Linked DNA regions of Tamandua tetradactyla. The protein of the gene in region 1 purifies or fractionates together with the protein of each later gene. This does not show direct contact. Links are inferred from orthologs where the notes say so. Each region holds a gene or a part of one and is shown in the gene's direction. Other genes may lie near its edges.

What was found.
Region 2: the proteins of STK25 (region 1) and PPP2R1B purify together in Homo sapiens (affinity purification with mass spectrometry; 3 studies listed by BioGRID and IntAct, with this or other methods). This does not show direct contact. The link is inferred for Tamandua tetradactyla from reciprocal best matches to the Homo sapiens genes STK25 and PPP2R1B.

What each region holds. Positions count from the first base shown.
Region 1 is NC_135329.1:80,165,847-80,173,034, reverse strand, and holds the start of STK25 (serine/threonine-protein kinase 25), read left to right. Parts: upstream 1-4,084; 5' UTR 4,085-4,276; intron 4,277-4,656; 5' UTR 4,657-4,780; coding exon 4,781-4,810; intron 4,811-7,188. UniProt on the Homo sapiens protein: Oxidant stress-activated serine/threonine kinase that may play a role in the response to environmental stress.
Region 2 is NC_135334.1:29,613,535-29,620,866, forward strand, and holds the start of PPP2R1B (serine/threonine-protein phosphatase 2A 65 kDa regulatory subunit A beta isoform), read left to right. Parts: upstream 1-4,316; 5' UTR 4,317-4,364; coding exon 4,365-4,478; intron 4,479-5,253; coding exon 5,254-5,344; intron 5,345-5,744; coding exon 5,745-5,845; intron 5,846-7,332. UniProt on the Homo sapiens protein: The PR65 subunit of protein phosphatase 2A serves as a scaffolding molecule to coordinate the assembly of the catalytic subunit and a variable regulatory B subunit.

The sequences.
Region 1 (7,188 bases):
GGTCCAGCATTCTCTGTGTACAGAGATGCTCCTCTTCGGTGGTTTTCAGTTTATCTTCCAAATCATTAATTGTCTTTTCCAGCTTGGCTACTGATCTCTCAGCAAACTCGCTCTACCTCCTTAAGTTTATCAGTAAGAATCTTTATCTCTTCTTCATATTTGTCTTCTTCTTGAGAGTACTTTTCTTCAGCAGCACTCAGACATTTCAGGTTCTGGTCCATCAGGCCGATCTGCTCATTCATGTCTTGGCAACGGGACTCTGCCAGCTCAGCTCCTTACTCAGTGCGTTCCAAATCCTCTTCAATAATCAGCAACTTACGAGCCACCTCCTCGTACTTCCGATCTGCCTCTTCTGTGATGTGCTTAGCTTCTTTGAGTTGAATTTCCTGGAGTTCCATCTTTTAAAGCCCAGTTTTCAATAACCTTCATACTTCTCTCGTACTCCTCAGCAGTTTTCTCTGCTTCCCCAGCTTTTGCAGGGTAGTGGCCAGGCGCTCAGCAGTCTAGCTCTTCTTCAACCAGTTGGATCCTTCAGTTCAAGGAGGCCACTTCAGCCACAGCCTGTTCCCCGGCCTCCCTTCCTCCCTCCACTTCCCGCTGGAGGTGCTCGGCTCTCTCCTCAGCATCACTGACCTGCTGCTATAGAACGTAGATCTTGCACTTCAATTCCTCGATGGTGGTGATCCCCGCCATGGTGCCCAACTACTGCTTGCACTAGGCTTCCTGCCTCCTGTGCTCGGTTTTGCAGCCGCTTCTCACTAGAACTTTTTTTCTTTTTTTTTTTTTTAAGTCTTCGTCTGGTATGTACCAGGTCTGGTCCTCCTCATTGTTGGTCTCCAGCACTTTAATCTTCTCCTTTGCCTGGGACATTGCTTCCTGTTTCTTTGAATGTTTTGTTGAAACCTGGACATTTTCATGTTTTAGTGTGTTACTGCTGGAATTTACTTTCTGAGGCAACTATTCTTTAAGCTTGTATCCAGGTAGTGTTGGATCCGAGCTTTCCTTGAATGCCAGGAGCTAACCAAAATATAAGAAACAAAAAATAAACAAACAAAAAAAAATGGAAGAAATTAAAGAAAATACCTTTCCCAGTCTTTGCAGACTGACTTGCTTGAGTGCTCTCTTTCAGAGCTTACCTAGATAATGAGTTTAGAGAATAGTTTGAGGCCAAAGTGTAGGGACCTCCCTGATCCTTTCAGCATATGCACAGGTCACAGGCATGTGTGAATGGCCCTAGGAGTCCCTCTGTTTAAATGGCTGAGAATGTCCCCTCTTCTTTAAGGAACAGTTTCCTCACAGTCCCTGGCCCTGCACTGTGTGTTGTTCAGCGAGCAGTCCCCTGCCCCAGGCAGCCACTGGCCTGGTCCCCACAGCCCTGTAGGAGAACTCTGTGACCCACCTTCTACACACAGGGCAGGTTCTGGGACAGCGAGTCCCTCAGGCCACCACCAGTGAGACTGGGCCAGACCCCCCTGCTCCCAGCATGTGCACAAGGGTGACTCAGCTCCCTCCAGAGCGAAGACCAGGGATCCACAGTGGGAGCATGGGCCAGGGCCATGCTAGGGAGGGTGGAGAGAGGACAGCCAGGGTACCACGAGATTCTACTGGTTTTAAGATCCCCTTTTCTTGATTTGGTGTTTGCTCTTTTAGTGCAGTCCTTTAACTGTTTTCTGGAGTTTTGAGAAAGCTGCTTTGGGCAGTTCTTGCTGGTTGTTCAAATCTCCTGTAGTGGACACAGAGCCCTGTAGCTTCTCATTCTGCCATTTTGATCAGAGTGCGGTTCTCTAGCATTTGATTTTCTTTTTTTAGAGTTTGCATCTTTCTGCTTACATTACTCATCTGTTCTTGCATATCATTCACTTTTTTCCACTAGAGTTTTCTGCACATAAATTATAGTTTAAATTTCCACTTTATTCCAAAATCTCTGCCATGTTTGAGTCTCATTTGATGCTTGTTCTGCTTCTTTAGACTGTGTTTTTGGCCTTTTGGCATGACTCGTAGTTTTTTATTGAAAGTTGGACATGATGTATGAGGCAATAGGAACAGAGGTGAATAGGCCTTTAACTGAGGATTTTAAATGTATCAAGCTAGAAGATAGGTTGTGTTTATTGTTTGCTGTAGCTGTGATGTCAAAGGCTAAAATTTCCTCTAGGGTCCTTGTTTATGTCTCTGTATTTCCTTGGAGATTTCTCCTTAAATAGGGCCAGAACTCTGGAGTTCTTTTCAGCTATAATCCCTGTTCTTATCTAGGAGCCCTACTGATGTGGGACAAGAAGAGTCCTACAGTTAGTCTTGGTCTTTTAGTGAGCCTGTGACCCTAGGTTGTGACCCAGTATTTTTCATCTGTATTTTTTGTTTTGTTTTGACCCCTTAGGTGAAGCAGGAAGGCTAAAGTGGACTAGCTCTGGGTCCTTCCTTCCCTGCTTGCAGAAGGTTAGATGAGGCTGGAGTTGGTTATTTCCCTCTGGGGGTTGTCCAACTCTGGTAAGACCTGTGTTGGCGAGGTGCTGGTAAGAGAGTTTCCCCGGGGGACAGACATTTATTTATAAGGGAACAAGGACACTATTCACAATGGTCCCTTCCCCTTGTGCTGGAAGCATGAGGAGATTTTTTTCTCTCATCTTCACAGCAGTAATTTGGTGGTACCCCTAGAGACAGACTTCAAGAAAGTGTAGGGGTCTCCCTGGGACCCCCTGGAAATTTTCTTTCTCATGCTAATCCATCTTCATTGGCCTGAAGTAGTCAACTACCCTGTAAGCTGTCCTGCTGAGGGTGGCTCTGCTGCAGTTCCTGCCCTTGATAAGCTGAGACATTTCTGCCTCTCTCTCCAGTTTTTCGGGTAGTTTGCCCTGTGCCCTCAATTCTCTGATGGATCTAAGAGGAGTTATTCATACATATTACTTTCCTGCACTCACACATTCACTCCACAACTTTCACTGCATGCCTGCCCTGTGTGGGGAGGATGTAGGCACAGCCTGCTTGCCAGTGCTTAGCTGACGGTAAATAACACAACCCGTGAAAGATCAGGTGGCCACGAGTGACCTGCACACAGGTGCGCAGGGGGCCTTCCATGCACAGCCAGGAAGCCCCTGTACTTAGGAGACTGAAGTAACTCAGGAGGACCAGCTCCGTTCTGAGGGACAGCAGGAGCACGGGGTGTCCAGATGGTCTTGGAGGGCCCACCCAAGGCAGAAGAAACAAGCCTTTTCCACAGGACAAGGGTGCACTAGGAAGGCGCTGCCAGGGGCACGGCGCGGGCCTCCAAGGCTTCGCGGGCAGTGGTGGTGGCTGCCCTGACGTCCGCACCCTGGGGCCGTCCAGCCGCTGGCCCTGCGACCTGTCTGGGAAGCGCACTCTGTCCTCCCTTCCGCAGATCTTCCTGAGCCCCTGGACAGGGCGGGTCACCGTCCAGGGCCAGGGGTGCGTCAGCTGGGGGCGCCAACAGCCCATGAGACCATGAGCGCCCCTCAGCGACGGGCTTTGTCCGCAGGTGTCCCCGCGCCATCAGGTGGGTCCTGGAGGGAAACCAAGATGGAGAAACCAAGGCAGGAGAGGGAAGCGATCACACTGGATGGCCTCTCAGCGGTCTGAGGGAGCCGCGGCCGCGAACCCGGTTGTGGGAGGATACTGAGGCCGTCCTGGGAAGAGGTTCTCGCTGAGGGCCGGGCGGGAATCGGGATCCCGAGGCGAACTAGCAGGGCGCGGGCGCCCGGGGAGGGCAGCAGGGCGGGACCGGGGACGGGACGAGGGCGTGGCTGGCTCTGCGCTCGGGAAGGGTCCGTCGTGGCTTACCAAGGCGAAGCCCAGACGGCGCCTGCGAACGACAAACGCCAGTCAGGACGCGGGTGGAGGGCCCGGCTGAGACGCCCCCGCCGTCCTGACGCCGCCGCCTGCCCTGCGGCCTGCCGGGAGACGGAGTCCGGAGCTTCTTAGGAAGAGGGACTCCAAGTCCCAGCGAGCCTCGCGGGCGTGCCTTCGCGCACGACCCCTTCCCGGACCCGCCCGCCCCGGCTCCTGCTGGGGCTTGTAGTCCACCGTCCGCGGCGCCCCGCCGCAGGGCGCGCTGTGGAACTGGGTGTCCCAGAGAGCACTGCGGCCGGGCCACGACGCCGCGCGTATCTCTCCCCGCCGCCGGCCATTCTCCGGCGCCGCCGCAACTACCTTTATTTCGGGGCTGAGAGGCCCGGGCTTCCCCAGGCGGACCGAGGCTGCGGGTGGGGGCTTTCGCGGGCGCTGCGGAACGGGCCGGGGGAGCCCGGGATGGAGCCCCCCGGAGGTGGGCGCGCCGCCCCGAGGGCTTCCCCTGGCGGTTGGGGAGGGGGCCGAACACAGGGTGGGGGGCCCGGAGCAGCGGGGCGGGGCGGAGGGAGGCCGCCGGGCTGGCTCCGTGGTGGGAGGAGAGTCGGGGGGCGGGTACCGGGGGCGGGCAGGGCCCAGGGAGGACCCTGCAGTGAGGCGGGCCGGGGGATGCGGTGCGGGAGAAGCCCGTGCAGCCGGGGGTGCGCGGCCGGCGAGGCTCTCGGAGGGTGCTTTGGCGTTCGGCAGGACCGGCCGGGGGCGCGGAGGCAGGCACTGTCTGCAGGAGGGGAGTGGAGACGGCCGGGTGGGGCTGTGGGGCGCGGCCCGGCCACGGGGACCCCAGGGAAGCCCGAGCAGGCCTGCTGTCCCCGCCACAGTGGACTGAAGCGAACCTCGCGAGCGAGCCGGGTTCCTGAGCATCCAGACGGCCATCTGGAGGCCTCCTCGGGTTGCAGGCGAATGGTGTGACGCCGCGGGGGATATGGCTCACCTCAGGGGATTTGCCAACCAGGTAAGGAGCAAGTTTCTGGGTTGTATGTGGGTGTGAACCCCCTGAGACAAGAGCCTTGGCTGCCGAGTACGAGGAACGGTGCGGATCGAGATGGTGCGCGTTGTTGGTTGTACTAAGGAATTTATATTTCACCCGGGAGTGGAAGATTTGAAGGTTAGGGGCGCTCCGGGCCTGGGCTCCGGCACTTCTGGACAGGCATGGGGAGAACCCTGATCCCCGCGGGCTAAGGAGTTCGGAAATGTGGCCGGGGAGTTCACTCGGCCCTCTCCACGCCTAGGGAAGGCAGAAGGTGCGGTGTATTCCCGTGGCGTTGGGAGGGCACCTGGAAGATCACATCTGGCATTCATCTTTGGTTAATGGTTCTCCTGACCGCAGTGTGCAGTTGCAGACGTTAGGTGATTCCCGACAGGACCTGCGGACTCAGGTGGGCCGTGCAGTTTTCAGAGAACGGTTCTGCCGGTCCCGCGGTGGGAGCTTTCCACTGGACCCGCCCTTCCCTCGCTCCCCCCCCCCCCCCAATTTTTTTGTTCTTTGAAAGAAAGGTGTGATTTAAAGGTGATGGTGAAGTAGAATGGACCCTTCTGGTTGCCACGTTTCTCTTCATCTAGCCATTTGGTTTTGTTCGTAAATGCGAGCTTGGGGCAGCCTTAGACTGTTGGCGGGTATTGGAATCAGCCCTTAGAGAATGGAGCGTGATCCCACCAGCGTGAGTGCTCCATCAGGGGTGCAGGGGCGCCCACAGGAGCTTCTGTATGGGAGGCAGAGGCGGGAGTGCAGTTCAGTTCCAGGCTCAGGGCCCTTGCAGGAGGTGGGAGCTGTCTGGGAACGCTGGGAACCGGCTGCTTGACTGCTGGGCAGGCTTTTGTGAACCAGCTGGGGTCACAGGGGATTGGGTTTGCTGATGGGTGCGGAATGAAGCCTCCAGGCTTTAGGTTCTTTTATTTATTTTAATATTTTTTATTGACAAAACTTGACATACAAACATACAAACATTCCATAAATGGTGTACAATCAGTGACTCACGATATCATCACATAGTTGTGTATTCATCACCATGATCATATTTTAGAACATTTGCATCACTGTGTGTATCCATCACCATGAATATTTTCTAGAACATTTGCATCACTCCAGAAAAAGAAATTGAAAGGAAAAAGTTCATATATACCATACCACTTACCCCTCCTTCTCATTGACAACTAGCATTTCCATCAACCCAATTTACTTTAACCTTTGTTCACCTTATTATTTGTTTATTTTTATCCATGTTTTTTACTCATCTTTCTGTACCCTAGATAAAAGGAGCATTAGACACAAGGTTTTCACAATCAGTCACAAGTCACATTGTAAAAGCTATATCATTATACAATCATCTTGAAGAAACAAGGCTACTGGAACACAGCTCCACAGTTTCAGGTACTTCCTGATAGCCACTCCAATACACCATAAACTAAAAAGGGATGTCTATATAATGCATAATAATAACCTCCAGGTTAACTTCTCAGTTCTGTTTGAAATCTCTCAGCCACTGACACTATTTTGTCTCATTTCTCTCTTCCCCCTTGTGATCAAGAAGGCTTTCTCAATCCCTCGATGCCGGTCCTGTCTCATCCTGGGATTTCCCAGGGAGATTTACACCGCTGGATGTAAATCGCTTGCTGTATGGTCTTAGAGAGCGAGGCCATATTTGAGCAACAAAAGAGGTTCTTTGGGGGTGATTATTAGGCCTAATTTTAAGCAGGCTTAGCCTATCCTTTGCAGGAATAGGTTTAGTAGGGGCAAACCCCAAGATTGAGGGCTTGGCCTGTTGATTTGGTTGTCCCCATTGCTTGTGAGAATATCAGAAGTTCTCCAAATGGTGAAGTTGAATATTTCCCCCTTTCTCCCCATTCCCCCAACGGGACTTTGCAAATATTTATTCACTGTCCAAATCTCTCTGGTATTTATCAGAGCATCGCATTAACCTGGACAAACCAACACAATCTTATGCCCTGTTCAAGATTCTATGTACTTATGGTGTTCAGCTAAACTTACCATACAAGTTAAGTTAGGAAATGCACTACCCAAAATATAAATTTTGCACCAAATAAAAATCTCTTCCTTTAGTCTCACACAGAAGTTGAAGTCTTAAAATATGGACGATATCATCCTTTATTGGGTTCTTTTTTGACATTTTATGTGTGATGACTATATGATTAAGATGCTGAGAGAAATATCTGCCCCCGGTTTATTTTCAAGAGCTTCAGAAATAGCTGCCGTGAGTCCCTGAGTGAGAAGTTGGCGTTCTGAGATGCCCTGAAATTGTGGGGCTTGGTTCTCCATGCTGGTTGCTCATTCTTGGTCCTTGGCCGGGATATCTGGTGGGTCTTCTGGAGGGC
Region 2 (7,332 bases), on another chromosome or scaffold:
GATGAACTTATAAAATCAGTGATTTTAAAACATAAGTGTACATGAGAATCAACAAGGGTGCATATTAAAACGTCTGGTACCCTCTCAGGAACTCATTCAGTAGGTCTGGTGTAGAGGCCAGGAATCTGCATTTTTTAACAAAGTAGCTTAGGTAATTCAGATGGCCAGTAGACCGAAATCCCCAAAAGACTGCTTTGGACTTTGTTTTTGTTTCCATTTGGCCCAGTTTTTTAAATAGTCTCTTTTTTTTCTCCTGAAGTCTGTTTCAGTCACTTTCTTTATTGAAGGATTTATTAGCATCTCTAGGTTTATTACATGTGTCATTCTCACAGCATCATGGTAACTAGAGAGAGAACCAAAGGTTGTTAGCCCCTTTTTATTGGGGGGCTGGCGTATAGGCATAGGAAGAGGAAGGTTATGATGGTTATAATGAGTCAGAGGCAGAGGTGGGAATTGAAGTACAGAACTGATGACTCTCAAAGCAGGCAGTTTTATGGGGCTTTATTTTCTTGGCCCATGATTTCATATTTAATCATAGTTATTCCTCAGGACTCCAGCTCACTGTGCTTGGGTAAGCAAAGCATATTTAAGTTTTAAACAAAATAACATCATCAGTGTGCCAAATTTGTTAGTATATGTAGTTAGTATATTAGCATCCTAGCTGCTAAAATAAATACGATACAATGGCTTGGTTTAACAACAGGAATTTATTATTAAAAATTCAGAGGCTAGGTACTTAAAATTAGGCCTAAGAGTCACCTCCAAGAGAACCTCTTTTGTTGCTCAGATGTGGCCTCTCTCTCAGCCAAGACAAGCCAACTCACAGCCCTCCACCTCTTTACATGGGACATGGCTCCCAGGGGTGTGGACCTTCCTAGCAATGTAAGATAGAAATCCTAGGATAAGCTGGGACTCAGCATCAAGGGATTGAGAAAACCTTCTGGACCAAAAGGGGGAAGATCGAAATGAGACAAAGTGTCAATGGCTGAGAGATTCCAAACAGAGTTGAGAGGTTATCCTGGAGGTTATTCTTACATATTATATAGATACCACCTTTTTTAGTTAAGGTGTAATGGAGAGGCTGGAGGGAACTGCCTGAAAATATAGAGCTGTGTTCCAGTAGCTATGTTTCTTGAAGATGACTGTATAATGATATAGCTTTTGCAGTGTGACTGTGTGATTGTGAAAACCTCGTGTCTGATGCTGTTTTTATCTACCTTATTGACAGATGAGTAAAACATATGGATTAAAAATAAATAAATAATAGGTGGAACAAATGTTAAAATAAATTTAGTAGATTGAAATGCTGGTGATTGGTAAGGGGGACAAGTAGGAGGTATGGTATGTATGAATTTTTTTCTTTTTATTTCTTTTTCTGAATTGATGCAAATGTTCTAAGAGGTGATCGTGGTGATGAATATACAACTATGTGATGATATTGTGAGTTATTGTTTATATACCAAGAATGGAATGACCATATGGTAAGAATGTTTGTGTTTGTATGCTGTTATGTTTAAAAAATTTTTTTAAATTAAGAAAAAAAAAATTCAGAGGCTAGAATGGCTTGTTACCTCCCGGGGTCAGTTTATTCTGGCTGTCTGGCAATCTCTGGGGTTCCTTGGCTTTTCTATCACATTGTAATGCCCATGACAGCATCAAAATTCTCCTTTCTCTTCCCAGTTCATTGATTTCCAATTTATCCCTCTGTGGCTTCTTACTGTTTGTCAATTTCCTTTGCTTCTGTTGGATTAAGGTCCACCCTCATTGAGTTTGGGCACAGTTTATATAATAACATCTTCAAAGGCTCTATTTACAAGTAGGTTAATACCCACAGGACCAGGGGTTGGGACCTGAACATGCCTTTTGTGGGATGGTGGGGAGGGCGACATGATTTAATCCCCAACAAGGCTCTTCTAAACTTGAGCTACTATCTAGAAGATAATATGTGTGAAACTGATCTGATCTACTTCTCTGTGCTTGCTTATCATTTCTGAAGCCTTTTTACATAAAGTATATGGGAACAGATTTCTCCTCCCTCTACCAAAATGTCCTTCTGATCCTCTTCTAACTGTTAAAATCCTCTGTGTCCTCAAACTTGAGTAGTATATGGATCATTTTTAAAGTAAAAAAAATCCTAAAAATTCTTGATTTAAATTATTTTTTATTACAGTGTTACTTAGCTTTACAAATACAAATCAGGAATATCAAGTCCTTTTATTTACCTTTCTTCCAACTGAAAAAAAGTAAAATAAAACACGTTTACAATTAAATACAAATGAAACCACAAACTAGTAATATTTGTATTGATAATATAGTAACTTAACATGACAAATGATGCTGTTTTGCTGAAACTAAACCATACCTTGTATCTTAACCATGGTATTGCTTGGCAAAGTTCAGCTACTTTTTTTTTTAATTAAAAAAAATTTTTTTAAATACCAAAAAACACCAAATAAACTCAAACATTCGTAACTTTTGATCATTCTATTCTACGTATATAATCAGTAATTCACAATATTAGTTCAGCTATTTTTGAATTTATATGCCTATGACACCAAGTGACCATCAGTATCCGAATTTTCTTACACTTTCCTCTGTTAGAAGTACTGAGACTATGCAGACCCGTGATGTCATTTGGTTTTCACTTTCTGCATAAAAGCATCAATTTTATTTTAAATCTACCTCTGTTCCTTTCTTACTATCCCAGAAGAATAAAAAGAGCCCTGAAACACACAGGCAAATGTAGGTGCTGAAATTGTATGGCAATCCTAGGATATAAGGTGGTCATCCAAGTAATCCAAAAATTACTTATGCAAATCTAAAAATAATTATCGAAATGAAAACAAATTAAAACCCTAGAGAATACATCTGCAGGCCTAATGTAAGAACACTGTTCAGGTACTTTGGTAACTTTTCTCTACTACCAAAAACCATGTTTACTATGTTTACTTCCAGGGACCCTATGTTTAAAAAAATTTTTTTTTCTCCTAAGTTGCATTTATTAATTGTTAATCAGACACATAGAATTACCATTCCAGAGCTTGTGATCAAGCATATGTGGTTCTCACTCTGAGTTGCTTAAATTTCAGTTCAAAGAAAAAAAAAAAAGATGTTTCAGTTATTCTGTGCTCCCTTAACAAGGGTAAATGAAAATTTTACATTAGGTTTTGTAATAAGAAAGAATTCAAAAACCTTACCTCTAACCATTGCTGCTTTTGAGAACTGTTGGAAGTCTAGGAAGGCCATTTTAGGTTTTTCCTGTACAAGTCAAATAGCCACCCCACCCACTTTGAAGAATTAGGCTTGTCCTAGTTTTATTTCTAGCATGTTAAGGAGCTAAAAAAATAAGGAGAAAGAAAATACAACACAAGGTTATACCATCTCAGTCTTTATCCTTTCTTCTGATTTCATTTGTGCCCCCAGGCCTCCTCCCTCTATCATTTTCACATTCAGCTTCCTTCAGGGTTTTAACATTATTGTATTACAGTTAGGTAGTATTGTGCTATCCATTTCTGAATTGATGCAAATGTTCTAAGAAATGATCATGATGATGAATATACAACTGTGTAATGATATTGTGAGTTATTGATTATACAACAAGAATGGAATGATCATATGATAAGAATGTTTGTGTTTATATGTGGTTATGTTTCATAAATAAAGAAAATAAGAAAATACAACACAAGGGACAATTCCAGATCCAAGATTGAAAAGAAACACAAAAACAAGAAAGCAGTATGTTTTTAACAGCTTGCGTAGAGAAAGTGGAAAAAATACTGACTGGGGAGTTTGGAAGGCACTGTTCATTTTCTCTCACCGCCTACGTCATCTGCCTTATAGAGCAGAAGCTAGAATCAGTAATCCGGGCGAATAGGCCTTAGGAGGAGGTTTTGCAGACGTCTGAGGCTGGAGAAATTTGTGCTGGAGACCCCAGTTGATAAGGGCCAGGATGAAAGCAGAGAAAGGAGTCCAAGTCTTCCCCTCTCCCTCCGGCCTTGGGAATCCTGTTTGGCATGCCCGTGTGTTAACAGAGCTCAGTAAGGATCACTTAGGTAGGTCCCTGGCCCCTTCAGACCACAACGAGATGGAAGAATCCCAGTTCGTGCGTCTCTGGGCTGAAGTAACGGCGCGGGGCATCCAGTCAGCGAAACCTTCTGGAGTTCAGATGTACAGGTCTTGCACCTGGGGTCCAGTAGGAACCTCCGCTAGCCGGCAGGAGAGATTCGGCTTCCGGGGTTGGGTTCCGCCGAGCCCGCGCGTGGGCCTTGGCTCCTCCTCCTTGGGCCTGGGCGCGGGGCGGGGCGGAGTAGGGGCGGGGCCTGGGCGCCGAGAAGGCGGTGGCGACCCGCGAGAAGAGGAAGAACATGGCGGGCGCGGCTGGGCCCGGCACCGACTCGGGGGCCGCGGGCGGGGATGGAGACGATTCGCTATACCCGATCGCGGTTTTAATCGACGAGCTCCGCAATGAAGACGTGCAGGTACTGAGCTCGGCCGGGGAGCTCAGATGGGCAGGGCCAGCGCCTGGTAGGCAAGGGGGAAGGCCGGAGACTCGGAGCAGAAACTTGAGGGTGAGGAGAGGAAGACTTGCGAGGGGCTGTGGTGGCCCGGCCTTTCCGGCAGCTCACCGACTCTTACTTCTCCCGACCTCCTGAGGCGCATCGGCCCGCGCCCGACCCGGTCTAGGCGGTTGTCGGACTACCGGCTTCCTTCCTGGACGCCTCTTCCGGACGGTGCGGTGGAAAACGCTGTTCTGCCTGGGGCCGGCTCCCTTGTGGAGCCGGAGGAAGGGGTTCCCCGCCGCGGGTCGCAGGGTGCCTTAAGGGCCCCTTGGTGAGCAGATGAAATGCCTTCCCAAGGATTAGAAACTGGCCGGGCTTGTTGGGTAGACAGATCCAGGATGGTTGAGTTAGCGTATCATCTTTGATGGAACTTTTCTTTGAACATTCAGGAGTTGTATTCGACCGTTTCACTTAACCACTGCTAAATTCTTTTTAAAATTATCTCACTTCCTGGGTATTGAATTCTTTTTCGTTTATTTTTTTTTCTGAATGTTGCTCCTAGGAAATCTTGCTCTGGCTAATGAGGCCATGCTACGGTGCACCAGAGGTTCCTCAAGGAATAAAATCTAAATTGAGTGCTTTCTTCACTCTTACCCTGTCTCATTATAATCACCATCTTGCAACTATGGCTTTCTCTTTTGGTCTAAATTGCAATCGTTTCTTTACTTTGTTATTCCGTATTCTTTTTAAAAAGCTCCGTCTCAACAGTATTAAGAAGTTATCAACAATTGCTCTAGCACTTGGAGTAGAAAGGACTCGAACTGAACTGCTGCCGTTCCTTACTGGTATGTGAATGTTCCTTTAAAGAAGGGCATGGGTATTTCCATTTTCCAGTGACTTCCAAAACCTTGTCTGTTTTTTAGAGTTGGTAACCACAATATTAACTAATCTGAGCCGGGTGCTTTCTGTGTAAAACAGTGTAAAGAATATTGTAATGTGGTCATATGTATTCAAACATTAATTATTTAGCTAGTTTAAAATTGATCATTGATATGGGAGTATTAATTTGTAATTCATTCTGTAAAACATATCCAGGAAAACTTCCTTAATTGAGGAGAAGGAAGGAAATCCTGTTAAAATTGTGACTTGCTTATCTTATTAGCCATATATTGTACTCCAAGTTTTGTATGAGTATCTGACTTTGGACCAGCTACCTTTTGATGAATACCTTGTTGTCATTTCCAGATACAATTTATGATGAAGATGAGGTGCTGTTAGCTCTTGCTGAGCAACTGGGAAATTTCACTGGACTTGTTGGAGGTCCTGACTTTGCCCACTGTCTGCTGGTGAGTGCTTATATGCTCTCTCTACCCTCCTTTTAGGACGTCTGCAGTATAAATGATACGTTGTTTGGTGATAACCTCACTGTAGCACCGTGTGCAGTCTCTTTGTAGTCACTATAGCTATGGAGAGAACAAATAATGTAAGCAGTTTGGAGTCAGTCATCCCTTTCTTATTTTTTCTTACCTGTGAATACAAGAACTTCTTCTTTCCTTTTCTGTCTCTATTGACTTTTTTATTATTTTAGAGGAGGGGCAAGAAAGGATTTGATTTAAAAAAAAAACAGCTTTATTGAGATATAATTCACATACCATCCCCTTCACCCTTTGAAAGTATATAACTCAACTCAGTGGTTTTTACTTCCTTCACAGGTTTGTGCTGATTTTTTAAAAAACATAATTATGTGATTTTTTTCATTGTAAAATACACATAACAGAATTTTCCATTTTAACTATAAAGTTAATTCACTAGAATTTTAGTACATTTACAGTGTTGTGCAATTAATAACCACAATCTAATTCAAGTTCATTTTCATCATCCTAGATGGAAACAGTGTGCCCAATAAGCAGTTATTCTTCATCCTTTCCTCTCCCTAACCTATTCTGCTTTCTGTCTCTGTGAATTTGCCTATTCTGGACATTTCATATAAACAAAATCATATAATATGTGTTCTTTTGTGACTGGCTTCTTTCACTTAGTGCAGTGTTTTCAAGATTCACACATGTTGTAGCCTGTATCAGTACTTCATTTCTTTTCATAGCCAAATAATATTCCATTATATGGGTATACCACATTTTGTTTATCATTCATCAGTTGATGGACATTTGTGTTGTTTCCATCTTTTAACTATTGACAGTACTGCTGCCATGAACATTCATATACAAGTTTTTATTTGAATACTTGTTTTCAGTTCTTTTATGTATATACGTAGGAGTACACTTGCCAGGTCACATAGTAATTCTTTTTAACTTTTGGAGGAGCTGCAGAATTGCTTTCTATACTGGTTTGCACCATTTAACATTCCTACAAACATTTCACAAACAGTGTATAAGGTTTCTACTTTCTCTGTTTCCTTGCCAACACTTTTTTTTTTTTAATAAGAACTATCCTAGTGGGTGTAAAGTGGTATCTCATTGCGGTTTTGATTTATTTATTTTTGTTGTTTTTGATTATGCTTCCCCACCCCCAAATTTGAAGTCTTAATTTTCGTCCAGCTATGTGACTATTTGGGAGATGTTTATTACCTTTTTGTCTTTGTAGTGTAACTTTTGCTCTGACTTATCTTGTGAATTTGATTTCAGTTCAATTTAGCTGACATTTATTGAGCACCTACTATATCAGACACAGAAATTATAATGTTATTGTTAAAGAGAATGTAATGAAGTCTCTGGTCTTTGCCCTTATATATAAGCAAATGTAATTATTGTGTAGTGTTAAGAAGAAAAATAGACCCACATACAAGATACCTAAGTAACAAAGGAGAAAGAGATTA